Stegostoma tigrinum: one gene and its partner. The protein of the gene in region 1 purifies or fractionates together with the protein of each later gene. This does not show direct contact. Links are inferred from orthologs where the notes say so. Each region holds a gene or a part of one and is shown on either strand. Other genes may lie near its edges.

Region 1 (16,056 bases):
CGAGGCAAGGGAAGGTAGGTGGGATGGCGATAGTTGAATGCAGGTTGGGAATGGGGATTTGTCAGTGGGATGGGTGCGATGGATAGGTGAGGGAGGAGATGGTCAGGTTATGTCAGGTCAAGGAGGCAGTGATGACAGAGTGGGTTGGACATGGAATGAGGCCGAGGCTGGGGAGATTTTAAAACTGGTGAATTTCATGTTTAGGCCATTGGGCTGTAGGCTCCCGAGATGGAATATGAGGTGTTGTTCCTCCATTTTGCTAGTGGTGTCATTGTAATATTAGAGGAGGCCCAGGATGGACATGTCACCCAGGGAGGGGGAGGAAGATCTAAAGTCCCTACCACTCCCTGGCTGCACTCACCGATCACCATCTCACCTACCTTCCCCAGCACCTCCTCTCCTCTCTCTCTTTAATTCCCAGCCCCCTTCCCCATCCCCATTTCTGAAGAAGGGTCCCGATCTGTAACATCAGCTTTCCTGCTCCTGTAATGCTGCCTGGCCTGCTGTGATCCTCCAGCTCTACACTGTGTTATTTCAGACTCCAGCATCAGCAGTTATCTATCTCTGAGATTCACCAGAATGTTGCATGGACTTATGAGTTTGATTACAAAGAGAGATTGGACAGACTAGAGTTGTTTGCTTTATAGCAGAGGAGATTGAGAGGAGTCATGATTGAGATTTGTAAAATTAATAGGAACCCTTGATGGAGGGATGAATGACTGGGGGCATAGATTTAAGATTAGGGGCAGAAGGTTTAGAGGAGATGTGGAGGGAAAGCAGAGTTAACATTTCAGGTCCAGTGATGTTTCTTCAGAAATTTTTTGTTTGTTTCAGAACTCTCCAGCATTTGTAGTTTTTTGTTTTATTATGTAAGAAGACAAGCTAGATAGGTGATAATGGGGACAATGGGCAGTTGAGAATGAATAGGCAACTGGAAGCAACTCGTTTCATGGTCATAGAATTTTACAGTGTCTGTACCAGCTCCTAAAAGAACTAGCTAGCTCTGTACTCCAGCCCTATCTTCATTGCCCTCTACATTTATCAATTTAAAATATATATCCAGCTCTCTTTTAAAATGTCATATGGAATCTACTTCTACTACGCCCCAGGCAGCACATTCCAATTCCTAACAATTGTCTGGGTAAAGAAGATTGTCCTCTCTCACTCCTAGCTCTCTCACTGATAACCTTGAAATTGTGAACCCTAGTAACTGATATACTAACTCATAGAAACAGAATAGCCTTCTTTACCCTGTTAAAATTGTTCGTTGTCAGAAGTCACATGACACCAGGTTATGATCCAACAGGCTGATTTGAAATCACAAGCTCTCTGGTTCACGTTGCACTAAATGTGACCCCAACACACTATTCTGTAATATAACCAGTCATTCGTTTGTCTCCAGCACCACCTTAGTTTTAATTTTCTGGCATTATTGCTCTTCCTCAATTAATTGGGTTATAGGTCAGTCTTCACTTGCAGTTCAGCTGTTGACACTTTACTCACACTGTCTGACACTCTCGATCACCGCAGGGTCTTATTATTTGGCCAGTTGACAACCCGCTCTCAGCAGTTGTATGATCTTTTGAGCTGATTATAAATCCTGTGCCTGCCTGCCCCTTCTCACTTCACCTGAAGAGGTAGCACTTCAAAAGTTTGTGATTTAAAATAAACCTATTGGGCTATAACCCAGTGCCATGTGACTTCTGACCATGCCCATCCCAGTCCAACACTGGCATCTCCACATCAAAATTGATCATAAGTAACATCACCTCTTAATCATTTCATAGTTAAGATCACCTCTTAATCTTCTCAGCTCCAAGGAGACAAGAACCTGGGATAATTGTGTTTCAACAAGTAAGTGTGTGGCAATGCTCAAAAAAATTGTTAAATTCCATGCTGTGTCCTGAAGGCTGCAAAGTGCCCAAGCAAACAATGAGGTGTTGCTGCTCCAGCTTCTAAGGAGCTTTGATGGGCCCTTGCAGCAGGCCTGAGACAGAAATGTTGCCAGGAAAAGCAATGGTGTATTGAAAAAAACTCAAAAGAGCTGCAGATGCTATCAATCAGGAACAAAAACAAAGTTGCTGGAAAAGCTCAGCAGGTCTGGCAGCATCTGTGGTGGAGAAAACAGAATTAATGTTTCGGGTCCGGTGACCCTTCTCAGAACAGGCAGGCAACTGGAAACTCTGGAGCATAGTTATTCTGGTAAAGGTGATTTATTATCAAGGATGAGATTTCTAAATTCCTGGAAGTGCAGGGTCAGATTAGAACAAGTCAGCATGGATTTAGTAAGGGGAGGTCGTGCCTGAAAAACCTGTTAGAATTCTTTGAAGAGGTAATAAGTATGTTAGACCAGGGAAACCCAGTAGATATTATCTATCTAGACTTCCAAAAGGCCTTTGATACGGTGCCTCATGGGAGGCTGCTGAGCAAGGTGAGGGCCCATGGTGTTCGAGGTGAGCTACTGGCTTGGATTGAGAGTTGGCTGTCTGACAGAAGGCAGACAGTTGGGATAAAAGGCTCTTTTTCGGAATGGCAACCGGTGACGAGTGCTGTCCCACAGGGTTCAGTGTTGGGGCTGCAGCTGTTCACCTTATCTATTAATGATCTGGATGAAGGGGCTGGGGGCATGCTGGCAAAGTTTGCCGATGATACGAAGATAGGTGGATAGGCTCGTCCCCACCTCCCTAACCTGTTCTTCTTCTCATATCCCCTCTTCCCACCTCAAACAACACCTTCATTTCTGACCTAATAACCTCATCCCACCCCCTTGACATGTCTGTCCTCCCCACCCAGACTCTCCTCTCCACCTATCTTCTCCTTGATCCATCTTCGGTCCGCCTTTCCCTCTCTCCCTATTTATTTCAGAACCCTCTCCCCATCTTCCTTTTCTGATGAAGGGTCTAGTCCCGAAACGTCAGCTTTCGTGCTTCAAAGATGCTGCTTGACCTGCTGTGTTCATCCAGCTTCACACCTTGTTGTCTCAGATTCTCCAGCACCTGCAGTTCCCATTATCGCTACCTCATGCCTTCTTCACTGCCCTGTCAACCTGTGGCTCCACTTTCAATGAGCTATGAACCTGCACTCCAAGGTCTCTTTGTTCAGCAACACTTCCCAGTAACTTACCATTAAGTGTAAAAGTCCTGCCCTGATTTGCCTTTCCACACTGCAGCAACTCAATTTGTCAAAATTATACAGTAAATGGGAAAGCCCTGGGGAAAATTGATGAACAGAGAGATCTGGGTTTTCAGGCCCATTGTTCCCTGAAGGTGACAACGCAGGTCAATAGGATGGTCAAGAAGGCATATGGCATGCTTTCCTTCATTGGGCGGGGTATTGAGTACAAGAGTTGGCAGGTCATGTTGCAGTTGTATAGGACTTTGGTTTGGCCACATTCAGAGTACTGTGTGCAGTTCTGGTTGCCACATTACCAAAAGGATGTGGAAGCTTTGGAGTGGGTGCAGAGGAGGTTCACCAGGATGTTGCCTGGTACGGAGGGTGCTAGCTATGAAGAGAGGTTGAATAGATTAGGATTATTTACATTAGAAAGATGGAGATTGAGGGGGGACCTGATTGAGGTCAACAAAATCATGAGGGGTATAGACAGGGTGGATCGCAAGAAGCTTTTTCCTAGAATGGGGGACTTAATTACAACGGGTCATGAGTTCAAAGTGAGAGGAGGAAAGTTGATGGGAGATATTGTGGAAAGTTCTTTACACAGAGAGTGGTGGGTGCCTGGAATGCATTGCCAGTAGAGGTGGTAGAGGTGGGCAAAATAGCATCATTTAAGATGCATCTAGACAAATACATGAATACAGATCCTTGGAAAATAGGTGACAGGTTTTGATAGAAGATCTGGATTGGCACAGGCTTGGAGGGCCGAAGGGTCTGTTCCTTTGCAGTAATTTGCTTTATTATTTGTTCTTTTGTTCATTAAACTCTGTTTGCCACTCCTTGGCCCCTTGGTCCATCTGATCTCGATCTTGTTGTACTCTGTTCTTCACTGTCAATCTTCTTTGTCACTTCTTCAAAAAACTAAGCTATGCACTTGAACACCAAGATCCCGCTGTTTCTCCACACTGCCGAGAATCCTGCCTTTAATCCTATATTCAGCATTTAAGTTCGACCTTCCAAAATGCATCACTTTGCATTTATCCAGGTTGAACTCCATCTGCCATTTCTCAACCCAGCTCTGCCGACTGTCAATGTCTCACTGAAGTCTGCAATAGCCCTCGATGCTATTAACGGCACCTCCAACCATTGTGTCATCAGCAAACATACTAACCCACCCCTCAACCTCCTCATCCAAGTCATTTATAAAAACTCCAAAGAGCAGAGGCCCAAGAACAGAGCCCTGCGGGACACCACTCAGCACTGACCTCCAGGCAGAATACTTACCATCTACGACCATCCTCTGCCTCCTGTCAGCCAACCAACTCTGAATCCAGACAGCCAAATCACCCTGTATCCCACACCTCCTGACTTTATAGAACATAGAACGTAGAACATTACAGCACAGTACAGGCCCTTCGGCCCTCGATGTTATGCTGACCTGTCATACCGATCTGAAGCCCATCTAACCTACACTATTCCATGTACGTCCATATGCTCATCCAATGATGACTTAAATGTACCTAAAGTTGGCGAATCTACAACCGTTGCAGGCAAAGCGTTCCATTCCCTTACTACTCTCTTATGAATGAGCCTGCAGTGGGGAACCTTATCAAATGCTTTGCTGAAGTCCATGTACACCACATCCACTGCTCGACCCTCGTCTACCTGTCTCGTGACCTCCTCAAAGAACTCAATAAGATTTGTGAGGCATGATTTGCCCCTCACAAAGCCATGCTGACTCCCTTTAATCATGCTATGCTTTTCCAAATAGTCATAAATCCTGTCCCTCAGAATTCTTTCCAAAATCTTGCTGACCACAGACGTAAGACTGACTGGTCTGCAATTTCCAGGGAGTTCCCTATTTCCTTTCTTGAAAAGAGGAACAACATTTGCCTCCCTCCAATCTTCCAGTACGACTCCCGTGGAGAGTGTGGAAGCAAAGATCTTCACCAGCGGCTTAGCAACCTCCTTTCTCGCTTCCCGGAGCAACCTAGGATAAATCTGGTCTGGCCCTGGGTACTTATCAATCTTAATGTTTGCCAAAATTTCCAGCACATCAACTTCCTCAATCTTGATCTGTTCAAGCCTAATTCCCTGCTCCTCAAAGTTCTCATTCACAACAAGGTCCCTTTCCTTAGTGAAAACCGAAGCAAAAAACTCATTTAGGGCTTCCCCTATCTGCTCAGACTCCACGCACAAGTTCCCTACGCTATCCCTGATTGGCCCTACCTTCTCCCTGAACGTTCTCTTATTCTTCACGTATGAGTAAAATGCCTTCGGGTTCTCCCTAATCCTTCCTGCCAAGCCTTTTTCGTGCCCCCTCCTGGCCCTCCTCAGTCCACTTTTGAGCTCCTTCCAAGCAAGCTGGTAATCCTCTAAAGCTGTGCTGGACCCTTGCTTCCTCCACCTTACATAAGCTGCTTTTTTCTTTTAGACGGGGTTGTGCTGAGCTTTGCTGGAACATAGAACATAGAACATAGAACAGTACAGCACAGAACAGGCCCTTCAGCCCACAATGTTGTGCTGACCATTGATCCTCATGTATGCACCCTCAAATTTCTGTCACCATATGCATGTCCAGCAGTCTCTTAAATGTCCCCAATGACCTTGCTTCCACAACTGCTGCTGGCAACGCATTCCATGCTCTCACAACTCTCTGTGTAAAGAACCCGCCTCTGGCATCCCCTCTATACTTTCCTCCAACCAGCTTAAAACTATGGCCCCTCGTGTTAGCCATTTCTGCCCTGGGAAATAGTCTCTGGCTATCAACTCTATCTATGCCTCTCATTATCTTGTATACCTCAATTAGGTCACCTCTCCTCCTCCTTTTCTCCAATGAAAAAAGTCTGAGCTCAGTCAACCTCTCTTCATAAGATAAGCCCTCCAGTCCAGGCAGCATCCTGGTAAACCTCCTTTGAACCCTCTCCAAAGCAGCCACATCTTTCCTATAATAGGGCGACCAGAACTGGACGCAGTATTCCAAGTGCGGTCTAACCAAAGTTTTATAGAGCTGCAACAAGATCTCACGACTCTTAAACTCAATCCCCCTGCTAATGAAAGCCAAAACACCATATGCTTTCTTAACAATCCTGTCCACTTGGGTGGCCATTTTAAGGGATCTATGTATCTGAATACCAAGATCCCTCTGTTCCTCCACACTGCCAAGAATCCTATCCTTAATCTTGTACTCAGCTTTCAAATTCGACCTTCCAAAATGCATCACCTCGCATTTATCCAGGTTGCACTCCATCTGCCACGTCTCAGCCCATCTCTGCATCCTGTCAATGTCCCGCTGCAGCCTACAACAGCCCTCTATACTGTCAACAACACCTCCAACCTTCGTGTCGTCTGCCAATTTTCTGACCCATCCTTCCATCCCCTCATCCAGGCCATTAATAAAAATTACAAATTGTAGAGGCTCAATGACAGAGCCCTGTGGAACTCCACTCACCACTGACTTCCAGGCAGAATATTTTCCATCTACTATCACTCGCTGTCTTCTGTTGGCCAGCCAATTCTGTATCCAGACAGCTAAGTTCCCCTGTATCCCATTCCTCCTGACCTTCTGAATGAGCCTACCATGGGGAACCTTATCAAATGCCTTGCTGAAGTCCATGTACACCACATCCACAGCTCGACCCTCATCAACTTTTCTAGTCACATCCTCAAAGAACTTGATAAGGTTTGTGAGGCATGACCTGCCCCTCACAAAGCCGTGTTGACTGTATTTGATCAAGCCATGCTCTTCCAGATGGTCATAAATCCTATCCCTCAGAATCCTTTCTAACACCTTGCAGTCTGCTGTTCCTTTCCGCAATGTCACGGAGACCACATTGTGAGCAGCAAATAGGGAAGAGGCAGTACGAAGTGCAGATGCTGGAGATTCATAGGTAACAGGTTATAGAGCTGGATGAACACAGCAGGCTAAGCAGCATCAGAGGAGCAGGAAGGCTGATGTTTCAGAGACCCGAAACGTCACCTTTCCTGCTCCTCTGATGCTGCCGGACCTGCCGTGTTCATCCAGCTCTACACTGTGTTATCTCTATTATAGCAAATAGAGTCGACTAGAGTCAGGGAAGTGCAGGCAAGGTGCTGCTTCACCTGGAAGGGATGTTTGGGCCCTTGTATCCTGGGGATGGCGGAGGTGAATGTTACACCTTCGCTGGTTACAGGGGAAGGTATCCTGGGACTGTGAGGGCTTCAGGAAGAGTTGACCGGGGTGCCCCGGAGGAACCGGCCCAGCACCCTCGTCCCGCACCTCCTTCCCGTCCCCCCCTTCTTGGAGATGGCGCCTGTACTGACTCTCCCGGAACTGACCAATCAGAGCTGTGGAGGCGGGGCGTGGCGACGTCATCGGGTGGCGGGCTGAGCGCGGACCCGTATCCGGGAGCGAGCGGCGGCGGTTGGGCTGCGAGAGGCCGCGGTGAGTACGGCAGGCCCGGAGCCCAGGGCCTAGGTTAAAGCTACTGCAGTTTTCTCTCCACCGTTCCCGTGAGTGTGAGCCGCAGCCGCTGATGAGCCCTGCTGTTTATTACCAGACCCCGATCTTCCGCCGGCCTCGTGGAGGCTCTTTGCCCGCCGGCAGCAACGTGTGAACTGGTCATTGCCCAGAGGCAGGCCTTTAGCCCCATCCTACAGCTGCTAGCTCTTTGCAGCCCGTCCACCCCTGTTCCCCTTCGCTTCTTGCCCCTATTCCCCTCCGCACTTGCCCCCTCCCCCCCTTTCCCCAGTTCATTGTTAACACCAGGCTCGCCCCAGCCCCACTCTCCTGGCTGCCCTCCCACATTCTAACTTCAGCTCCTCTAAAACTCTGCTCTCACACCAAGTCCCATTCACTGGGCAATCCCTGTGGCTTGCTGTCCCCAGGTCAAACACCGTCTCAATTGTACAATTCTCACTCTTGTTTTCAAATTCCTCTGAGGCCTTGCCCCTCCCTAACCCTGTAATCTTTACCAGTTTTGCAGCCTTTTCAGATATCGGTTCTCCTCCAATTTCAGCTTCTTCAGCATCTCTGATTTTATTCGTTGGACTGTTATTGGCTGTGCCTTCATCTGCCTGGGCTCTAAGCCATTACACCTTTCCATAAAGCTCTCCATTTCTCTGCTGATGCTGTTACTAATTTCTTTTTTTGTTATGTGGGGTCAATTGCTTTGCATTCTGTTTTCTGAATTCGTTCTTTATATTGTTTGTTCAATGTGGGTGTCATTGGCTAGGCTGGTATTTGCTCCTCATCACTAATAGCCCTGGAGTCTGTGATGATGAGCTGTTTAATTCCTTGGGATATCAGCGTATTAACATTGCTGTTAGAAAGATAGTTCCAAAATTTTAACCCAGTGGCAGATCTTTTTGTTTCCTTTGTTATTCATTCATAGATGATGGCATTGCTGGTTAGGCAGCATTTATTGCTCATCTCTAATTGCCCAGAGGGTGGTTAAAAGTCAATCTCATTGATGTGGGTCTGGAGTCACGTGTAGGCCAAATCAGGTAAGGATGGCAGTTTCCTTCCCCAGAGGACAATGGTGAACCAGATGGCTTTTTCCAAAAAATGATTGGTCATCATTAGAGTCTTAGTTCCAGATATTTATTGAATTCAGATTTCACCATCTGCTGTGGCAGGATTTAAACCCAGGTCCCCAGAACATTATCTGGGTCTCTGGATTAACAGTGAGGCAATACAAAAGTTGTCATGGCAAACAGAGGTCATTTGGCCCATTGTGTATAAACCAGCTCACCAAATAAGAAAATAAGGAGCAGGAGTAGGCCATCTGCCTATTTTGAGCTTACTCTACCGTTCAATAATATAATGGATGATCTTTTCATGGACTCGGTTTTGCTTGTCTGCCTGCTCACCATAACACTTAATTCCTTTCTTGTTCAAAAATCTATCTTTGCCTTAAACTTTCAACAAGATACCCTTAACAGGTTAACTGACAGGGAATTCCACGGAATCACAACTGTTTGGGAGAAGTTTCTCTTCGGTCCAATCCTAAATCTGTCTTATATTTTGAGGCTATTCCCCCTAGTTCTAGTTTCACCCACCAGTGGACACAAACTCCCTGCCTCTATCGTATCTATTCCCTTCATAATTTTATGTTTCTATAAGATTCCAACCACTGCCCCCCCCCCCACCCCCCCTTATTAAATTCCCATGAGTACAGACCCAGTATACTCAATTTTCCCTCATAAGCTAACCCTCTGACCTCTGGAATCAATTTAGTGAGCCTCCCCTGTACCTCCTACAGTGCCACCATCGTGATGGGGAGGTGATGGCTTCATGGTATTATCACTGGACTGTTAACCCAGAGACCCAGATAATGTTCTGGGGACCCGGGTTCAAATCCCGCCATGGCAGATGTTGGAATTAGAACTCAATAAATATCTGGAATTAAGAGTCTAATATTCCATTTTCGGTTGTTGAAAAAACCCACCTGGTTCACTCATGTCCTTTTGGGAAGGAAACTGCCATCCTTGCCTTGCCTGGCCTACGTGTGACCCCAGATCCACAGCAATGTGGTTGACTCTGAACTGCCCTTTAGGTTGTGGGAATGGGCAATAAATGCTGCCTGGCCAGCTATCCTTCATCCTGTGAATGAATTTAAAAAAACTTTGTACCGTTCTTGTGTTTTATTTCTCATAACTCATTGTTTCTATTTAAATAACCATCTCATGTTGCCTTGAATGTTTCAATTAAACCTATCTTACATCTTAGAGGTAGTGCATTCAAAACCTAAACCAGGAGTGTGACAAAGCTTTTTCTTTCATCACATTTACTTGGTGAAGCTTAGACCTTAGATTTTTGGATAAAAGTTCGGCACAACATCATGGGCAGGAGGGCCTGTACTGTGCTGTACCGTTCTATGTTCTATCTCTTTGTATCTATATACTGTTGTCGTTCTTGATACTTTTATGAGTAGAAATAGTTTACCCCTATCTACTCTAGCTCCCTTATGATTTTGTAAGTTTCTCTCAGATTTCCTTTGGACCTGTTTATGTCTCAGGAGAACAGCCTCCCTCCAACCACTGTCATCATTGGTTCTTCTAACTAGACTTTTATTGTTCATGCCCCTTTAAATACATCTCTTCTGCACTCTCTCCAATGCTTTCACATCATTTCTTTAGCGAGCTGCACAGAACAGTGTGCAATATTCCAGCTGAGATCTGATCAGTATCTTTTTTAAGTTCATCATCATCTGCCTACTGTTGTACTTTATGCACCTGTTAATAAAGCCCAGGATACAATGTGCTTTAACAGCTGCCTCCAACTGTGTCATTTGTAATGCTGTGTATACATATGCACCTAAAACCCTGTGCTCCTGGACTCCATTTAAAAATTGTACCACTTATTTTATATTGCCTGTCCATAAGACCACAAGAAGTAGGGAAAGGATTCAGCAATTAGGTGCCTCGACCCATTTCTGCCATTCAGTAGGATCATGGCTGATCTAACATTCCTCATGTCCACTTTCCTGCCTTTTCCCTGTAACTCTTGATGCTCCTACTGATCAAGAATTGATTTACCTCTTCCTTGAATATGCTCCCAGAACTCACTGTGGCAAAGAGTTCCAAAGACGCTCAAGTCTTTGAGAGAAAAAAATCTTCAGTTTGTGCTTACAGCCCGTAGACACGGATGATGTCTTAAATGAATACTTTTCAGCTGTTTTCATAGGGGATAAAGCTGGGGTTTTATTTGGGATGGTCATATTCTAGAACGTTGAGTAATAACGAGGTATTAGCTGTTCTGAAGAAGGGTCACTGGACTGAAATGTTAACTCTGATTTCTCTCTACAGATGCTGCCAGATCTTCTGAGCTTTTCCAGCAACTTCTGATTAAGTTTGATTTCCAGCATTTGCAGCTATTTGGTTTTTAATTATAGACCAGTTAGCGTGACATCTGTGGTAGGGAAATTGTTGGAAATAATTCTGAGAGACAGGCTTAACCAACACTTAGAAAGGCAGGGATTGATCAGGGACAGTCACTATAAATGCTTGGTTGGTGGTTTGGTGTGGGGGGGTGGGGGGGGGGGGGAGGAGTTGCCTGTCAAATTTCATTGAACTTTTTGAAAAGTTGTCTAAACATATTGTTGAGGGTAGTGCAGTTGATTTGGCTGACATGAACTTCATTGAGGGTTTTGACAAGGTCCCACATGGAAGACTGGTCCACAAGAGCCCATGGGATCCAAGTGCCCAACAGGATTCATTCAAAACTGACTTGTAAGTAGCAGGTGAAGAGTGATGGTGGAAAGGTGTTTTTATGATTGGAAGCTTGTGACCAGCAGTGTACCACAGGGGATCAGTGCTGAGACCCTTACTGTTTATGTACATTAAAAACTTGGATGTGAATGTAGAAGGTTTATAATTAGTAAGTTTGCTCATGGCTTACAAATTATTGGTGTTGATAGGGAGGAGGATGGCCTCAGGCTACAGTCTGATATTGATCAGGTGGTAAATTGGGCTTAGCATTGGCAGATGGAATTTAGGTATGAGGATTTGCATTTTGGAATGCCTAATAAGGGAAGGTTGTAAGTTCATAGATCCCTGAAGGTGTCAGCACAGGTAGACAGGGTGGTGAAGATTTGCAAAATGCTTGCCTTCATTAGCTGGGGCGTAGAATATAGTTGTAAGAAGTCTTGTGTGATTTCTGACTTTATAAAAGTTGTAATGACACCGGGTTATAGTCCAACAGGTCACAGATGGAATACTGTGTGCAGTTCTGGTTGCTGAATATCAGAAAGCTGAGATGTGTTGGAGAGGGTGCAGAGGGTATTGACCAGGATGTTGCTTGGGATGAAAAGTCTGTTATGAAGTGAGACTGGATAGGCAGAGTCTTCTTTATTGCTTGGAGCAAAGGAGGCTGAGGGAGGTGTGATTGAGGTATACAAAATTGAGAGACGTAAAGAACACATATGGAATGCTGTCCTTCATTGGGAGAGATATAGAATATATGAAAATAGAGATACAATGATGAAACTGTAGAATCCCTACTTTGCAGACAGAAGTCATTTTGTCCAGTGAGTCTACACAACCCTCTGCAGGCACCCCACCTAAGCCTGCACACCACAGAACAATTTAGCATAGCCAGTCTGCCTTTTGGACTGTGGGAGGAAGCTGGAGCACCTAGAGGAAACCCAAGCAAACTCTACACAGACAGTTGCCCAAGGCTGGATTTGATCCTGGTCTCTGGTGCCGAGAGTACTAACCATTATGCCATGTAAGTCACTGGTAAGACCACAACTGGAGTGCTATGTACAGTCATGGTCGATACGTTATAGGGAAGATATAATTGATTTGGAGAGTGTGCGGTGAAGAGCTGGAAAATTGTAACTGTGAAGAGAGAAGGGAGAAGTTGGGGTTTTTTCCCTTTGGAATAGAGAAGGCTGAGGGATGACATAATTGAAGGATACAAAATTGTGAACGGGAAAGATAGAGTTGATAGGAGGAACCTGTTTCCCTTTGCACAGAGTTCAAAAACCAGGCATCAGAGATTCGAGCTAAGTGGCCAAAGGATTAGAGAGGATATGAGGAAGAACATTTTCACACAGAGGGTGGTAGATATCTAGAACTTGCTACCTGAGCTGGTGCTGGAGGCAAAGACCCTAAAACTCTAAAAACATAACTGGATCTGCATATAGAATGCTGTAAGCGTGAAGGCTGTGTGCCATGTGCAGGAAGATGGGATTAGAAAGGGTCCTGACCCGAAACGTAAGCTTCCCTGCTCCCCTGATGCTGTCTGGCCTGCTGTGATCCTCCAGCTCCATGCTGTGTTATCTCTGACTCCAGCATTGGCAGTTCTTACTCTCTCTCATTAGAAAGGACATCTGGGTGTCTTTGAGGTGGTATGAGGTATAATTTCTATGGTTCTACATAGATTAAACTGTGAGAATCTTTTCACCGTGATAGACATACCTAAGACCCAAGGGCATACATTTAAGGTGAGGAGTAAATGGTTCAGAGGAGACCTAAGAAAAAGTTTTTTTTTTCACCCAGAGGGTAATAGAAATACAGAATGGGTTGCTTAAGAGGGTGGTGGAGGCAGGTGCTTTCGCACCATTTAAGAAGCATCTGAATGAGCCCTTAAAATGTCAAGGCATAGAAGGCTATGGAACGTGTGCAGGTAAATGGAATTAGTGCAGTTTAGTGCTTGTTGGTGGTCTGGACACGGTGGGTTAAAGGGTCTGTCCTATGCTGTATGACTCTGACTAAATTGGAACCCCTTTCTTCTAAGACTGTGCCATCTTGTCCTACACCCTCCCTTCAGGGGAACCACCTTCTCAGAGTTTACCCTATCAAACCCTTTAAGAATGCGATATGTTTCAATGAGGTCACCTCATTCTTCTAAACTGCAGTGACTAGAGTCCCAACCTGTCCACTTTTGCTGAAAAGATAAACTCTTCATATCAGGGATCATCCTATTGAACCTTCTCTGAATTGTCTCAAATGAAATGATGCTGTAAGTAAGGGACTAAATCTGTTTATGGTACTCCAGATGCCTCAGCAGTTAGCACTGCTGCCTCACAGCACCAGGGACCTGGGTTTGAATCCATCCTTTGGGCAACTGTCTGTGTGGAGTTTGCACGTTCTGTCCTTGTCTGTGTGGGTTTCCTCCAGGTCCTCTGGTTTTCTCCTACGGTCCAAAGATGTGCAGACTGGACAGATTGGCCTTGCTAAATTGCCCATAGTGTTAAGGGATGTATAACTTGGGCTTGTAGGAGCATGGGTCTGAGTGGGATGCTCCAATGGTCAGTGTGAATTTGGTGGGGCAAAGGGCCTGTTTCCACGTTGTAGGGGTTTTTTTGATTCTATGAAATATTCACAGCGTGGATTCACCCAATCAGCAGCTTCTATTGCCTGGTGTGATTTTTCAATCCAGATGTCACATCTGTAGCTCAACATCTGGTTTGAGAGGAAGGAAGGGAAGCCCCTCAAAGGTTTCCTGCTGCTCTGTTCAGCTGCTCCTTGCCAGATTTGTATGCTCGCTTTGGCACTTAACAGGAATTTGAACCTGTGTTCCCCGGAGCATTAACATAAGCCTCTTGATTCGTATTCCAGTGACAATGTTCTGCTCTTTTTCCCCCCAAGAGTTGAGATGTCTAATACTAAGGGTATGCATTTAATCTGAGGGAGATAAAGTTCAAAGGAGATGAGGAACAAGTTTTTTATTTAAACACAGTGGTATGTGTGTGGAGCATGCTGCCAGGGGTAGAGGTGGAGGCAGGTATGATAGGGACTTGTAAGGACTTTTAGATAATCAATTGCTTATCTGAGGATATGGACCAAGGACACACAGACGGACTTAGTTTAATTTGGTGTCATGTTCTGCGCAGCATTGTGAGCAAAACAGCCTGTTCTTATGCTGTATTGTTCTTGTGTTCGATATTAGCCATACAGTATGCCACCACCTCCCCCGTCCATGTTCTTCACCATTGAACTTCATCTGACGCCTATGCTGGCATTCCAACTTGTATCCTCCACATTAATCCTCTCAGATTACAATTCTTTGGAGTTTTGTACAATGAGCAAAACGTGAAATTGCCCATTGTGCATCAAGATTCAAATAAATTAATATATATCAGAAAAAGCAAGAGCCCCAATACTGATCCTGGGGAAACTTCACTAGAGCCCTTCCTATAGTCTGAAAAGTATTAATTGACCGTTATATTCTATTTTCAATAACTTAGCCAATTTTGTAACTAAATGGAAGAATTTTAATATAGTTCCAAGTTAAACTGGTGTGTGGTTTGAAGTGGAGCTTTCAAACACTGGTTGTACCCATGTATCCTGCTGCTCTGCCCTTCTAGACAGTGTGTGTGTGGCACTTTTTGGGAGATGCTTTTGCAGAGTCCTTGGTGAGTTATTGCAGTGTTTCTTGTAGATAGTGTACCCTCCTGTATTTTGGCACTGCATTTACTGCCTTCAATACCAGTCAAGCAGTCTGTTTTGTTCTGGATGATATCAAGCTGCCTGAATGTTTCCAGAAGTTCATTTAGGCAAGTACGGAAGATACAATCACATTCCTAACCTGTTCCTTCAACAAGCTTTGGAGAGATAGGAGGTGAATTGTTTGGTACTGCTTTGTAAGCCATTGACCTGCGCTTGCAGTCACAGGACTTATATGGCTAGTCCAATTCAGTTTGTGTTCAATGTTGATAGTGAGGTATTCAGCAATAGTAAAATCATTGGGGGAAGAAAAAAGCCCACTTAAGGTTGAAATAACAAGGTGACATTTTCTGAAGAAGGGTCCAGACCTGAAACGTCAGCTTTCCTGCTCCTCTGCTGCTTGACCTGTTAAGTTCATCCAGCTCTACACCTTGTTATCTCAGATTCTCCAGCATCAGCAGTTCCTACTATCTGAGAGAATGAGATCTGCAGATGCTGGAGAATCAGAGGTAACAACAGTGTGGAGCTGGATGAACACAGCAGGCCAAGCAGCATCTTAAGAGCACAAAAGCTGACGTTTTGGGCCGAGACCCTTCATCATGAAGGGTCTAGGCCCGAAACATCAGCTTTTGTGCTCCTAAGATGCTGCTTGGCCTGCTGTGTTCATCCAGCTCCACACCCTACTATCTCTGAATCGATTTTAACCCCAATGAATGATGGTTGGATTCTGTCTTGTAGGAGATGCTCATTGCTTGGCACTAACATGGCGCAAATGTACTTACCATTTATTAGCTCCAGCCTCACCAGTGTCTGAGTCTTGCTGCATATGGTGATGGGCTGCTTCAGTATCCAAGGAATCATGAGGGTGTTGAGGGATCATCCCCCATTTCTGACTTTATATTGGAACACCATTAAGAAAGTAGCTGGGCGGGTTTTGGGCCTCGGACACTACCCTAGGGGCGGAGCAGTGGTTAGCACTGTTGCTTCACAGCACCGGGACCCTGAGTTTGATTCCAGACTTAGGCAACTGTCTGTGTGGAGTTTGCATGTTCTCCCCATGTCTGCGTGGGT
Region 2 (15,818 bases), on another chromosome or scaffold:
GATTCATTCATGACTTGATGGACTTTCTAGATACAGGAAAAAAGACCAAAGTTAACAATCTACAGCTCTCCTCATGGACCAGACCAAATTCTCTTCAAGTATAATCAAGGAGATAGCCTAGACCCTAAATTTTTCTTTTTTAAAGGCTGTAAGGTGCTGCATTCCAGAGGTAATTTGATTGGTTATGTTACTCGGCTTTAAGCAAAACACACTTTATTGTTAGTCTACAGATAAAATGCGAACAAAGAAGAACTGGTCTAATTTCAACTCTTATGGAAAAACTTAACTGATCAATAGATCATTTAACTACTAAACAGCAACTGTTCCACTACCATAATATCCCAGAAATACATGGCAAAGGCAAATTCAGTAAAACAGATTCTCTCATATACAATTCTAGCAGCAAAGAAAACTCCAGATTTTAGATGTAATAGAGACAGACAGTTTCCATAACTGGTAAGTACTCAAAGCTAAATTAAAACCCAGGTAATGTGGGAACCTGACTTCACCCATTCGTGTTGCTTCTATGATAGAATCATAGAATCTCTAGAGAGTGTGGAAGCAGGACATTTGGCCCATCGAGTCCACACCAAACAGCATCCCACCCAGACCTTCTTCCCTAACCGAAACCCTGTAGCCCTGCATATCCCATGACTAATCCACCTAGCCCGCACATTCCTAGGCACCATGGGGAATTTAGCATGGCCAATCCATCTAATCTCCCCGTCCTTGGACTGTGGGATGAAGCCAGAGCACCCATAGGAAACCCACACAGACATAGGGAGAATGTGCAAATCCTACACCTTAAAAAAAAACCCAAGGCCTAACAAGCTACTTACTAAATTGGCTTGAAACAGACCAGTTGGCACCTCTGTTTCAATCTCTCTTCATTAAAATAAAGGACAAAGTACACCTCTTAAAGCCATAGTCACAACTCTAAAACACATACTGCCTTTATTAACTTTTACACATCATGTGTCAGACACAGTTCAGTTCCTGAAGAGTCACATTTGACTTGAAATGTTAACAGTTTCTCTACCCACAGCTGCTGCAAGACCTGCTGAGTTTCTCCAACACTGTTTCTACATAAGACCCACTACTACAATCATCTGTAACAAATACAAACAACCAAAAATTGCAGTAAGTAATAGTAAGAAAATATAACCCCTTTTTTTTTTTTAAAATCCCTGCACCTAAAGCAGCAGTATGACTAAGCAGAAGAGTTGTTTTGAATTTCCCCTCACGGGTTACACACCTCTGGAGCAGAGGTAGGGACAGAACCACTATGCCACAAAAGGTCCCTCCTCAAGGGACTGAATAACCTTTTTACCAATCATATGTTTAAACCTGAAAGTAACAGAATCCAACTGCAATAATACTGGAGTCATATTAAACAAAACTATATATACTGTAAACACAGAAATCATTGCTTCGTTTCAAAGAGGCTAACTAATTTACTGAGAGATAGTAGGAACTGCCAATGCTGGAGTCTCAGATAACAAGGTGTGGAGCTGGAGGAACACAGCAGGCCAGGCAACATCAGAGGAGCAGGAAAGCTAACGTTTCGGGTCTGGGCCTTTCTTTCAGCTTTCCTGCTCCTCTGATGCTGCCTGGCCTGCTGTGTTACTCCGGCTCCACACCTTGTTAACTAATTTAGTGTGCTTCCCAAAATCATCTGTTTTGATTTCTCAAATGACAGCTGAAACTGCGGGCATGTGCACATAGATTTCTGAACGTAGCATTCTGAAGTCAGTTGATCAGAATGGTGCATAAGAAATTCTTGAACACAGATTTATTGCTTCTATTAAATCCCCAAATAATACTCACACAGGGCCTTTTGGTCTTACTTGACGTAATAAAAATGTAATCAATAATATTATGTAGAAACTTTCACACGACTACCATTAACAACATAAAATATGAATAAGTTTTGATTACAGAGTTAAACAGCCCACTACAACCAATAAATTTTTTAAACGTATGAACTACTGCAAAGTTGAGTTCCTAGAAGCATACGAGGAGCAAGATGCAAAGGAAGATTTACTTACCTCTATCCATTGTTGTTGTTTCACATCTCCTTTTTTGGCCTTGGCTTCAAATCCTTTACCACCATACTTTTCATCTTCACTAATGCATTTAATATGTGCTTTGTAATCCTCACCCCTATAAACAGTTGAAGACTTCTTTTAGGAGGAATGTCAACTATTATTTTATCTCAATTATGTAGGAGGGAGCTTTCATTTCATAATTTCATTGAGTGGAGCCAAAAACATACAGCATAGATCTAAAAAGCATTCTTCAAAGCTGTAGCTGCAAAGATTGAATAGTTCAGCTTCACAAATTCCAACAGAACATTGAACTGTATGCAGTGCTATCAATTCAATCATTTTGCAACTATCAATCATTAGATATTAGTAGCAGTAGCGCTGGAGGGGCTGGCACAACGTACAAGCTGTACATAAGCAGCAGCAGAAGTAACAAATTAAAGCTGAATCTTAGAAATAATGAGACTGCCAATAGGTGATCTCAGATGAAGAAGATCAAAGTAAACAAAACAGGAGCACTTACTAAAACTATAGAACACAACACATGTACAAGCCAAAGCTTCTTACGTAAGAATGACAAATACTTACCAAAAGTCCTTGCCACAGTCAATACATGACAAGCACGGGCAATTCCGACAACTGTTAAAATGTTTTTCCACTTGAGCTTTCTTGACAGATGCTCCACATCCATTACAGATGAAGACCACCATTTTGTTTTATTCTAGGTCCCTTCTCCTTATACACCACAAAGCAATACCTGTAATACGAATAAATATAACTGTCAAACAGAGGAATAATCAGTTCCAATACTCTATGCTGATTTTATCTTATGCTTACAGTTGGCTTTACAATAATGGATGAATTCTGTCATTCTCACTTTTGTCCAGATTTCTCCCAAGTCAGTCCTGATCAAAGTCGCTGACCTGAAACATTAATGCCGTTTTACTCTCTCCACTGATGCTGCCTGACCTGAGTATTTTTGGCATTTTCTGTTTTGCTTCAGATTTCCAGTATCTGCAGTATTTTGCTTTACCAATTGATAGAAAAGTGGATCTATTATAAAAGTTACAGAGGAGTTAGCAAATCATGAGAAAGGAGCAGAAGGTGTTATTAAAGCTTACTTTCAACAGATAGCAAAAATGTTCTTGAGCAGGTAAAGAGGGAATTTCAGTGTTTAGGTCCTAAGCAGTGAGGTTTGAGTGCCAGAGAGATGAAGAAAATCTGGCATACAGAAAAGGCTAGAACTGGTCAAGCACTGAAGGGCTGCATGGCTGAATCAGGAAAGAGAAACAGGAAGAGGTAACGTTACTTAGAGATTTCAAAAATCAAGGCCTTGTTAGGCCAGGATGCTATGTATATCACAGGATAGGAATGATGGGTGAACAGATCTAAGTAGCTGAGTTATGGGTAAGTTCAACTTTATAGACAGAGTAGAAGTTGAATGGCCACTCCGAAGTGCAAAGAAATAGATAGGTATAGGGATGGATAAGGATTTCAGAAGCATTTATATCTGCTTTTGGCAGATACACTATGTTACACAGATGAAAGAAAGTGCTGTCAGCAATGGAAAAGGAGACGTCTGAAACTGCGGGAGGCAATGACAATGTGATAATGTCGCTGGACTAGTTATCTGGACCCCAGGCTAATGTTATGTTTTATTATGGGAGAATTTGATAAAATATACAATAAAAAGCTGGCCTAATAACAACCATGGAAACATTATTGATTATCATTTTTTAAAAACTGCTTCACTGAGGGAAGGAAATCTGCCATTCTTACCTGAAATAAACTAAAGAACTGCAGATGCTGGAAATCTGAATTAAAAATAGAAATTGCTTGAAAAACTCAGCACATCTGGCAATATCTGTGGAGAGAAAGCAGAATTAGCCTTTAGTTACAATCCTTCTTTAGATCTGTTTCTGCATCATTCTTACCTGACTGCCCTAACTTGTCTCCCGAACCACAACAATGTGGTAGGCTAAATGCCTTCCAGACTGGCCTAATAAATCATGCAGTTGTACCAAACCACTGCAAGGTTTAAAAGGAACAAAATTAAACAAGACAGACAGAAAACACAGCCCTGTCAACCCTGCAAAGTCGTCCTGAACTGCATCCGGAGCTTGCCCCAAAAATTGAGACACGTGTCCCATGGATTGGTCAACCATAGTCATACTACAGAATCATACCTCAGAGATGATATCCCACATACCACAATCACCATTCCTCAATATGTCCTGTCCCACCAGTAAGACACAGCCAGCAGAGGTGGCAACAGTCAGCAGGGAATTTTCAAGACAGCTCTTGGCATTGACTCTAGATTCTATGAAATTTCATAGGCATCACCTTGAACATAGGTAAAGAGACACGCTGCTGATCAGCATTATCTCTCTGCCCCTGCTCACCCTCCCCGCCCCGTCCAAAGCACTACATCCATGCTGTCGTACAGGCTTCGTGTGGCATTGTAGCCCAGCAGCAGAATTATATTCAACCACATTCTGCAACCTCATACCCCCACTCTACCGCTATCACGAAGCCAGGGGATCAATCCTAGCTCAATGAAAAATGCAGAAGATTATGTCGAGAAGCACACCAAAAATGAGGTCCCAAATAGTGAAGGTACAACACAATACGAATTGCATGCTTTGCAGCAGAAGTGGCATGAAGTAAACAGGGCTAAGCAATAAAGCAACCAAAGGATCAGATTTAAGCTTCTCAGTGCTGCAACACAAATAGTGGTGATAATTAAACAAACAGGAGATGGAGGGTCTACAAACAGCCTCATCCTCAACAATGAGGAATCCCATCACATCTTCCCTAAAGGCAAGGCTGAAGAATTGCATCCATCAAGCCGGAAGTGCTGAGTGGATAATCCATCTCAGCCTACTTCAGAGGTGCCCAGCATCAGGAGAGTCAATTTTCAGCCAATTCAATTCACTCATGTGACATCAAGAAGTTGCTGGTGTCACTGGGTGTTGCAAGCGTTTTGAGCACTGACAATATTTCAGTCAGACTTATGCTCCGGAACTAACCCAGCTGTTACTGTGCTGCTGTACAAGACTGGCATCCAGCCAATAACATGGGAAATTGCCCGGGGAAGTCCCGTGTACAAAAAGCAGGACAAATCCAGGCCAATATAATAAGATAATAAAATGTGAGGCTGGACGAACACAGCAGGCCCAGCAGCAAAGGAGCACAAAAGCTGACGTTTCGGGCCTAGACCCTTCGTCTCTGATGAAGGGTCTAGGCCCGAAACGTCAGCTTTTGTGCTCCTAAGATGCTGCTGGGCCTGCTGTGTTCATCCAGTCTCACATTTTATTATCTTGGATTCTCCAGCATCTGCAGTTCCCATTATCACTGATACAAATCCAGGCCAGACAGTTATTGCCCTATTATTCTAGTCATGATCATCTCAGCAATAACCTGCTTGCTGATGCTCAATTTGGGTCTGCCAAGGCTACCCGACACATAAGAGCGAGCAGATATCATGAGATGAGGTGTGTCTAACTGGCCTTGACCCCAGGACAGCAATTATTGACACCTACATTGAGACACTGACTACAGTTCAAAAAGATTTCATTGACCAAGAACAGTAGCAGGGACTGCAGGAAACATTGGAAATGGGGGTCGTGGGGTGAGGGAAGAGAGAAAAACAGGCATGGACACTTCACTGGTTGGAGTCATATCTGGCACAGAGGAAAACGGTTGCTGTCAAAGGTCATTCATCTCAGCAGAAGTTCTTCAGGGTAGTGCATAAGGCCCAACCATCTTCAGCTGATTTAACAATGACCTTCACCTGATCATAAGATCGAGGTGGGGCATGCTTATTGACAATTGCACAAGGTGCAGTAAAATCTATATCAACTCAACTACTGAAGTAGTCCTTGTTCTTATGCAACAAGGCTTGGACAACATCCTGATCTGGGTTAACGACTGTCAAATAACATTCATGCCATACAATAACCACCTCCAACATGACAGAATCTAACCATCACCTTTTGAGATTAATGGCGAAACCCCCACTGTCAACACCTTGATGGCGGTTACCACTGACCAGAAACTGACTGAATCAGCCATAAACACACTGAGACAACAAGAGCAGTACAGATGTCAGGCATTCTGCAAAGAACAACTTAATTCTGGGCTCCCAAATGCCTGCTCACCAGGTACAAGTTAGGAGTGTGATGGAATATTTTACACTTGCCTGGATGAGTGCAGCTCCAGCAGAACTCAAGTAGTTTGACCTTATCCAGCACAAAGCAGAACACTTGATTGGTACCACATCCAACACTTTTAACCTTCACTCCTTTCACCAACATACAGTAGCAGTATTCTGAGATAATGGGAACTGCAGATGCTGGAGAATCCAAGATAACAAAGTGTGAAGCTGGATGAACACAGCAGGCCAAGCAGCATCTCAGGAGCAGTATTCTGTGCTACTTACAAAATGCACTGCAGTAACTCACCAATGCTCCAGTAACAGCACGTTCCACACTCATAAGCTCTATCATCTCAAAGAACAAGGACATCAGAACACCACCAGTTGCATGTTCCTCTCCAAATCACACACCACCAGTTTAGGAATACAAATACTGTATCTTCACTGTTGCTTGGTTAAAATCCTGGGACTCCCTGCCTAGTAGCAATATGGATGCTCCTATATTCCAAGGATCACAGCGGTTCAAGAATCCTATTCACCACCACCTTCTCTAGGGCAACAAGGAGACCTTACAGAAATTTATAAAATAAACAGCGGTATAAGAGTTAATGGTACTTGTCTTTTCTCTAGGATGGGCAATTTGAACACTAGGGGGCACAATTTTAGGGTGAGATGAGAGACTTAAAAAAGATGCAATTTTTTTTACATAGAGGATGGTTCACCTGTGGAATGAACTTCCTGAGGAAGTGGTGGATGTGGGTACAATTATGATGCTTAAAAGATATATGAATAAGCACATGAATACGAAAGGTTTGAAGCGATATGGACCAGGAGCAGGGACTAGTTTAGTTTGGGATTATGCTTGGCTTGGACTAGTTGGACGGAAGGGTCTATTTCTGTGCTGAATGACTCTAAAAGTAAAGACGGGCAACAAAAGCAGGCACAGTCAGAGATGCCCAGATCCCAAGAACAAATAAAAGAAATTCAGCTAATGGTCAAAAAAAATGCCAGGGTAACATCAAGAGTTCACTTTTAGACAGTGAGGCCAGAGTGAGGGATGGAGTCTGTGAAGAAGAACCAAAGATGACAGCTTTGTTCTTCCCAATATTCAACTGTTAAGTACTTGACAGTTATAGCATTAGGCAGTTGACAGTTTACAAGTGTGAAAATTAAAACGTCTCTCAATGAAGCTGAGGGCTTGCATTGATGGGCAGATGAAAGTAGAACTGCTTCAGGCTAACTTGGAGAGAGACTGGGTGATGTTCACCACAATTCAAAGTTGCACCAAATTGAGGAATATGAAATCCAATTTCCCATCATGACACTGATAGCCTAAAATCAACATTAAAAGTATTACTGTCTCAGGTTGAGATTGTGGGCTCAGGTCCCAATTTGGAGACTTGAACAGACATAATTTAGTGGTTTCTCCAAAACTGTTGGTAGTGCCATTTTTGAATTGAAACATTGAACTAAAGTTGCACCTGTTTTCATGAGAATGTAAATATCACAAGACCCCACTCTGAAGAAGTAAGTTATCACTCAGTTAGCACTTATCGTGCTCTGAATTTATTGACACCTACATTGAGACACCAACTATAGTTCAAAAAGATTTCATTGACTCTAAAGTAATTTGGATTGACTTAAGGTTGTGAAATGCTATTTTTTTAAAAAGAAGAATTACAATTAAATAAAATTATTAAATTACAGAGACTGAAACTATCAAGTCATCTTTAGGTACGTTTATACATATGCCAAGCACATGGAGTGGAAAGAAATGCAAAGAATAAAAGTTAACTCAAGGCCGGGGGGGAGCAAAGAAGCTGACTCTTCAGTGGGTCCTTACTGAAGGAGGAGTGCAGCCGCCTGTTGGAGGTGTATTTCTTTTTCATTCGAAACAGGGCCTTCGAGTTAAGTAAATGATTTACAAATGACTTAAGCACCTTGCTTAACTTGCAGCAAGAAGCCAGACAACTTCTAGAATCGACATAACAAAAAAACAGGAACAGTCTGAAACGAAACGAGTTACCTGTTACCCTTCAGCTCCACTCGCTGCAGCGAGCTCCTCAAACAGACCCGCTGCTCCTCACCCTCCTCCGGCAGCCCCAGCCAACCCGAACGCACACGTGTGTGGTACCGGAAAAACGAGATGCAACGCTCCGTCTCTTCCCCTATCTCCTCCGCCCCAATACTGAGGTTCCGGGTGCCGCGTTCCTGTGGAGCTCACCGTAAAAAGGGAGAAGGGAATAGAGATGCCAGAGAGTGGGGGCCAGGGCAGGACGGGCAAGAAGAGAGCGCGGAGCCTGTAAACAATTAGGTAAAGAACCTTGCCCGGGAATGGAATGCGGCCCGATCCGGGCAGGGTTCCAATTGTTTGTTGCAATTTGTTGTAAATGGTTATTGCCCAGTCAGGCGAGGAGATGGCTCCTTTTACTCTGACCTAAGCGACCAGGAAAAGCGTTCCGGGGCGCAACAGCATCAGTTGGTTCGACTGCTGTCCTCCACCAGCCTCCCGTCTTCCTCCAGTTTGCATGTTCCGCCATCCACTTGCTTTGTGCCTTTCCCGTGCTAGTGCATCTAGGCCCCGAGTCCCTTTTATTAATTGTTGTCCTGGAAACTGAATCGGAAAACCTCTCCCCTAGCTTGGCAGTGATTACAGGGAGAAAGGATGGACCATGATTGAGGATCAAAATCTATTGCAGAATGAAAATCTATTCAGAAGGAAAGTGGAATGGAAAATGGAAATCCCTTAGCTTTTAATTTTAATTTAAAAGGTACAATGATGATTAATGATGACTGGTTAAATGTATTTATCTCCAATCACTTTGTGGATTTTATTCTAATTTTGAAGTGTTTCACGTATTCTATCAGTTTTTTGTTGTTTTTTTTCTACTGGATGTGAATAAGGGTATAATGACTTAAAGGATTTATCTTTGGTGAGGATTGCAATATGTCAAGGAAGCTGCCTGCACAGACAAGATAACCGTAGCATTATTCACAGCAGTCTGTCTGCCGAGTAACTTCACATGTCGTTTCTCACCAACAAACCGAGATCTAGTCCGTCTGTCTCTGCATTAACAACATTTAATGTTGTTTACATTATTACATTTAACATTAAATGTTAAACAACATTTTAATCCACCAGATTTTTCCTGTTATTCTTCTGGCACGGAATGTTTTAAGCAGAAAACGCTGGAAATTACTGGACAGATGAGCAAATATCTCTGCAGGGAGAGCAGCAGAGTTTACGCTTCAGGTCGATGACCATTCATTAGAATTCGCAAAAGTTAAAGATGTTTAAGGTTTTTATTCAGTGAAAGGATGTGTTAAAGAACAGAAGGTCAGGGTCTGATGTCAAGAGGGCATTTAAGTGACAAACCTCTTACAGGGTGTGAAAGGCTTCAAAATATCTGGGAGACACCGCATGTTACTTCTTCTGGGCCACAGTCTGGGCAAAACTGTGGAATAGAGGCAGGTAGCCAGAGGCTTTTCCTCCTGACACAACCTGCTTTTGGGTGATATTTACATTTGCCATACCCCTTTCCTCGCAAACTCTGTGGGAAAATTGTACAATTCATTTACTTAGCACCTTGACAGAAAGTTTTAACCACACCTATCTGTGATGGATTTCAAGATCTGATCTCTACATGCTTAATATTTTGAAAATAATCTTGTGAATTTGTTGGTTGTAATTTCTAATTCCAGTATCTTTAGGAATGTGGCATTCTTTCCATTAATGTAGTCAGTCAACAGCATTGCTGCTAAGATAATAAAATGTGAGGCTGGATGAACACAGCAGGCCAAGCAGCATCTCAGGAGCACAAAAGCTGCCAGAGGAATAGCATTGCTGCTATTCCTCTGACAATTAAGCAATTCGAGATATGAGGGCTATCCACTACAAATGAGAAAAAAATGCTAATACAATTGCATTTAATTTAATTTCACTACTGTCTTGTATCACAGATAATTCACTTCTAAATATTTTACAATTAGGTATTATATTTAACCAGTGTTAATAAACAGCTAGCATTCTATCTAAATTATGAATAACTTGGAGGGTACTTTCTTAATAATGAGGAGTATAAAATCATGTAAATCATTGTTAAAGTTTGACATTACTGATACTTAGCAGATATTAAGCAGTGTGTAAGCAAGTTCTGAATGCACTTTCCTTGCTTGCCCCAATTATCCTGGGAGTCTCAATGTTCTATTTTTTTCCAGAGCTGAGACACAAAACCTCATGTCCAAAGTAACTGCATGACCACTAACCTTCACCTCAAATATCACTTTGTCATCCCTATTTTTTATTCACTGCAATTGACATCATTCACATCTTTACTTTTTCAACACTTTGTTCATTGGCTTCCTAATCTCCACCATAAACTTCAACACGTCCTTAAAAGTATAGCATGCTCACCATTCTGCTATAAGTCCCATACATCTACTACGCCTGTCCTTGTCAATTTTTAATCACCTCTCTATTGCACTGAAACATTAACTTCAAAATCCTTGTCTGTGGATGTGAGTTTGCTCGCTGAGCTGGAAGGTTAGTTTTCAGATGTTTTGTCACCATTCTAGGTAACATCATCAGTGAGCCTCCGACGAAGCGCTGGTGTTATGTCCCGCTTTCTATTTATCTGGTTAGGTTTCCTTGGGTTGGTGATGTCATTTCCCGTTCTTTTTCTCAGGGGATCGTAGATTGGTTCCAAATCAATGTGTTTGTTGATTTAATTCCGGTTGGAATGCCATGCCTCTAGGAATTCTCGTGCGTGTCTCTGTTTGGCTTGTCCTAGGATGGATGTGTTGTCCCTATCAAAGTGGTGTCCTTCCTCACCTGTATGTAAGGATACGAGTGATAGTGGGTCATGTCGTTTAGTGGCTAGTTGATGTTCATGTATCCTGGTGGCTAGCTTTCTGCCAGTTTGTCCAATGTAGTGTTTGTCACAGTTCTTGCAAGGTATTTTGTAGATGACGTTCGTTTTATTTGTTGTCTGTATAGGGTCTTTTAAATTCATTAGCTGCTGTTTTAGTGTGTTGGTGGGTTTGTGGGCTACCCTGATGCCAAAAGGTCTGAGTAGTCTGGCAGTCATTTCGGAGATGTCTTTGATGTAGGGGAGAGTGGTTCTGGTTTCTGAGCCTGTTTTGTCTGTTTCTTTGGGTTTGTTGCTGAGGAATCGGCAGACTGTGTTCATAGGGTACCCATTCTTTTTGAATACGCTGTATAGGTGATTTTCCTCTGCTCTGCGTAGTTCCTCTGTGCTGCAGTGTGTGGTGGCTCGTTGGAATAATGTTCTAATGCAGCTTCGTTTGTGGGTGTTGGGATGGTTGCTCCTGTAGTTCAGTATTTGGTCCATATGTGTTGTTTTCCTGCAGAGGCTGGTTTGAAGTTCCCCATTGGCTGTTATATTTGGAAAGTTAAGATGAACAAAATTGTAATTCAGGAGTTCAAACTGGGAAATTACAGTATAAGTTGAATTTTCCTTTCTTAACTATTTTTAAAATGCTCAATGACCTTGTACTTGAGCAACTTTTATTTTTAATTGACTTGTGGGATGTGGGCATTGCTAGCTGGATAGCATTTATTCCCTATCCCTAGTCGCACTTGAGAAGGTGGTGATGAGTTGCCTTCTTGAAACGCTGTAGTCCGTGTGCTGTAGGTAGACTCATGATGCCTTTAGGGAGGAAATTGCTTGTATGAAAGTGAATCTTGCTGCTGTTTTATATCCCTCCTGACATTTATTTCCCCTCTTTTATTGAAATGTACATAAAAATTATGACTGATGTAAAATAGTTTGCTATTCACTGTCATTCTTTTACAATATCAAGTGTACTCCCAATCTGTCGCACACTTACCCTTCATTTGTGGTATTTTCAAATCCCTATGACCTCAGCACAGCTTATTTCACTGCTCTGAACTCTTTAAAAACTCTGCTCACTACTATTTCACTCTTTATTGTGATATTTCTTTCCACATTTACCTCAAGCATTGACTTGTATGGTCTTTTGTTTCTTGCGTTTATACCACAAGAAAGCTAATGGAATGTTGTCCCGTTTCCAGACTGGAGTACAAGAATGCAGACTTTACGCTGCAATTATATGAAAACCTGACTCACCCCTGCTCTCCACCCCACTAAACTTTGGAAGGTCAAAAATACTTGCAAGGTGGTAATCCTTGAATCACACATTATTTTTTATTCTAGAAACATGAAGGATACTCTGCAGCAAAGGGAACAGATATACCTTCATGCCCGTGATGTTATGTTATAGTTCTGAAAAGAATTTTTTAAAAAGATAAAATTATGGATGACTTTTTACATTAGTTAAAAAATGTATTAGATAAGGTGAATTTCTGGCAAAGCGATATTTGTTTGAAATGATGTTGAATGTTGAAACAAATGTCTTTAGATCAATGGGTAATGTATATTTGAATTAAATATGATTTCTGTCTCTGTCTGTGGTTAGTTGAGTTTTTACCCAAAGTGAAGGTAAGGTGGCATTTATTATTCTAAATTAAAATAGTCAAATTAAAGCTCAAGAGCCATGAAGTTTCACTGCAATAAAACATAATCAGTTGGTTACAAAAATAATTGATCAGGTATTGGGATATTCTGAGCTGGAATTTCTTATAGAAATATTGGATCATCTTCATGTTCACCCAACCCCTACACCTTTTCATCTTCTTCACCCAGTTTTAGAAATAGTGCTGGATGGATGACAATCTCAATTACCCTTTTTAAGACAAAACCATTGCATAACCAGGGAGGGAAAAAAATATCTTTGAATTTTATCTTTTACTTCAACAACTTGCATCTTTATAGTCCATTTGATGCAACATAATGTCGTGTCCAATGATTCTTACCCCTGTGCTCAGATCAAAACATAGCATAAACAAACTGCTCAAAACATTTTCTGAAGAAGGGTCTCGACCCAAAACGTCAGCTTTCCTGCTCCTTTGACGCTGCTTGGCCTTCTGTGTTCATCCATCTCTAAACCTTGTTATCTCAGATTCTCCAGCATCGGCAGTTCCTACTATCTCTGCTAAAAGCACATATCAGAAGTATTTCTTGGAACCCTGCACGCAGAATCACATTTTGACTAAAGAAAAGCAATATCAACTGGTCATTTAGCTTTAAATTTGTGAAGGAATTTACAAAATTTCTTGTGTGAATTCGAAGCTGTGATGAGTGACTTTATCTCAACTGCATTTGAGACATCCTGCTGTATGAATAAAACCACCTACCCTCCAACTGATTGATTGATTGATTCTGTACCATTTTAGTAAGTCTCATGTTATGTCAGAGTTTCTTTCCCATACTAGGTCAGCTAAAGGATGGCAGCCGAAGCACTAGGAAACCACAGCTGCCATCTACTACAGCAGCTTCATGAGCAGCGTATCCAAGGATTCCTGTGTGACTGCATGCTGGTGGTGAAGGGTGTCTGCTTTAAGGCTCATAAAAATGTGCTGGCTGCATTCAGCCAGTACTTTAGGTAGGTATGAACTATCCGTAACGTTTAAATTCAAATTGTGTACTGGAATTAGAGTTGGTCTGAAAGTCATCTTTTTTTTAAATCTCAGCCAGTCTTTGCTAATGGACATGTCCACCCATTGTAATAAAATGTGAGGCTGGATGAACACAGCAGGCCAAGCAGCATCTCAGGAGCACAAAAGCTGACGTTTCGGGCCTAGACCCTTCATCAGAGAGGGGGATGGGGAGAGGGAACTGGAATAAATAGGGAGAGAGGGGGAGGCGGACCGAAGATGGAGAGAAAAGAAGATAGGTGGAGAGAGTATAGGTGGGGAGGTAGGGAGGGGATAGGTCAGTCCAGGGAAGATGGACAGGTCAAGGAGGTGGGATGAGGTTAGTAGGTAGATGGGGGTGCGGCTTGGAGTGGGAGGAAGGGATGGGTGAGAGGAAGAACCGGTTAGGGAGGCAGAGACAGGTTGGACTGGTTTTGGGATGCAGTGGGTGGGGGGGAAGAGCTGGGCTGGTTGTGTGGTGCAGTGGGGGGAAGGGACGAACTGGGCTGGTTCTTCCCAGTTTGTCCCCTCCCCCCACTGCACCACACAACCAGCCCAGCTCTTCCCCCCCCACCCACTGCATCCCAAAACCAGTCCAACCTGTCTCTTCCTCCCTAACCGGTTCTTCCTCTCACCCATCCCTTCCTCCCACCCCAAGCCGTACCCCCATCTACCTACTAACCTCATCCCAACTCCTTGACCTGTCCGTCTTCCCTGGACTGACCTATCCCCTCCCTACCTCCCCACCTATACTCTCTCCACCTATCTTCTTTACTCTCCATCTTCGGTCCGCCTCCCCCTCTCTCCCTATTTATTCCAGTTCCCTCTCCCCATCCCCCTCTCTGATGAAGGGTCTAGGCCCGAAACGTCAGCTTTTGTGCTCCTGAGATGCTGCTTGGCCTGCTGTGTTCATCCAGCCTCACATTTTATTATCTTGGAATTCTCCAGCATCTGCAGTTCCCATTATCGCATGTCCACCCATTGCATTGGTTATGCGCATATGATACATAATTAGTCTTACATATAGCGATTACTTACTCTCAGTGCCACAGTTACCCTTTATGAGATATCCCCAACCTCACAACCCCTATTCGCACTGTTCCGGCTGACCATGAGCTTTGATTAGATTGTTGGAAAAAACTTATGCCTGACATTTTTCGAAGTTTTCTTATTTTACTTTGTTTTCACTATAATTCACATTAGATTATACCAGAACCCACCCAACATTGCTTGCATCCTCAGCTATTTGTAATTACTTCAGACATTTAAAGTCTTTTTTTTGCATTTTTCTTCCAAATTATATTTAGCACACCATACAATTTCCATCTGGAAACTCTTGGGCAGGTTATCGTTGTTTAAGCAATCTGTAAATTGTTATTTACATTTTGCGAGTGCCTTTTCAAGTGCTTTAAGTTCAAAATAAATTATGGACCTTCAATGTTAATTACCCTTCAGTCAGTCTGTCGCTGTCATACACTTTCTGCCCTGAGAAATCCATTCCTGGTAACATCACAACCAATCGCAGTTATCACATGAAGCCATTGAATTGATTATTAATCTCAGCGTCAAACTATAACTGTTTCTCCAGCCAAGAAATTAGCTAACACTGGCAGTAAATCATCTCCAAACACATCTGGAGAGTAGAGTTTTATCATCCAATTGTAATTATTAGTTTACAAAAAAAATTCTTGCTGCTTTGAATGCCTTTACTGTATTCTTAAATTGCTTTACCATAATTACATTTGTAGAGTGAAGTAAAAGCATCAAAGTTCACTTTTTACTATCACAGAAAATGCTGTGGATGTTTAGAATTGAATTCTTTGGCTCATTTTTAGTAAAAGCATTTGAGTAGTAACAAGTTTTGAGTTTGTCTTTTTAGCTTAAAGTAATTTTCTGTTCTGTCCCAAATCTTTCAGGACCTTATTTCAAAATTCTTCAGGCCAGAGCCGTGATGTCTTCCATTTGGATATTAAAAATATTGGTGGCATTGGCCAGATTCTGGATTTTATGTATACTTCGCACCTTGACCTTAGCCATGAAAACGTCCAGGCTGTGTTGGACATTGCTCAGTGTTTGCAAGTACCAAACGTGCTCAGTCTGT

The links.
Region 2: the proteins of phf6 (region 1) and lyar purify together in Homo sapiens (affinity purification with mass spectrometry; 3 studies listed by BioGRID and IntAct, with this or other methods). This does not show direct contact. The link is inferred for Stegostoma tigrinum from reciprocal best matches to the Homo sapiens genes PHF6 and LYAR.

What each region holds. Positions count from the first base shown.
Region 1 is NC_081368.1:310,107-326,162, forward strand, and holds the start of phf6 (PHD finger protein 6), read left to right. Parts: upstream 1-7,465; 5' UTR 7,466-7,534; intron 7,535-7,548; exon of another isoform or gene 7,549-7,602; intron 7,603-11,199; exon of another isoform or gene 11,200-12,330; intron 12,331-16,056.
Region 2 is NC_081354.1:55,226,272-55,242,089, forward strand, and holds the start of lyar (cell growth-regulating nucleolar protein), read right to left. Parts: upstream 8,554-15,818; 5' UTR 8,228-8,553; intron 3,910-8,227; 5' UTR 3,825-3,909; intron 2,803-3,824; 5' UTR 2,756-2,802; coding exon 2,634-2,755; intron 2,164-2,633; coding exon 2,049-2,163; intron 27-2,048; coding exon 1-26. Other genes in the region: zbtb49 (zinc finger and BTB domain-containing protein 49), read left to right, coding at 13,529-13,686, 15,634-15,818. UniProt on the Homo sapiens protein: Plays a role in the maintenance of the appropriate processing of 47S/45S pre-rRNA to 32S/30S pre-rRNAs and their subsequent processing to produce 18S and 28S rRNAs. Also acts at the level of transcription regulation.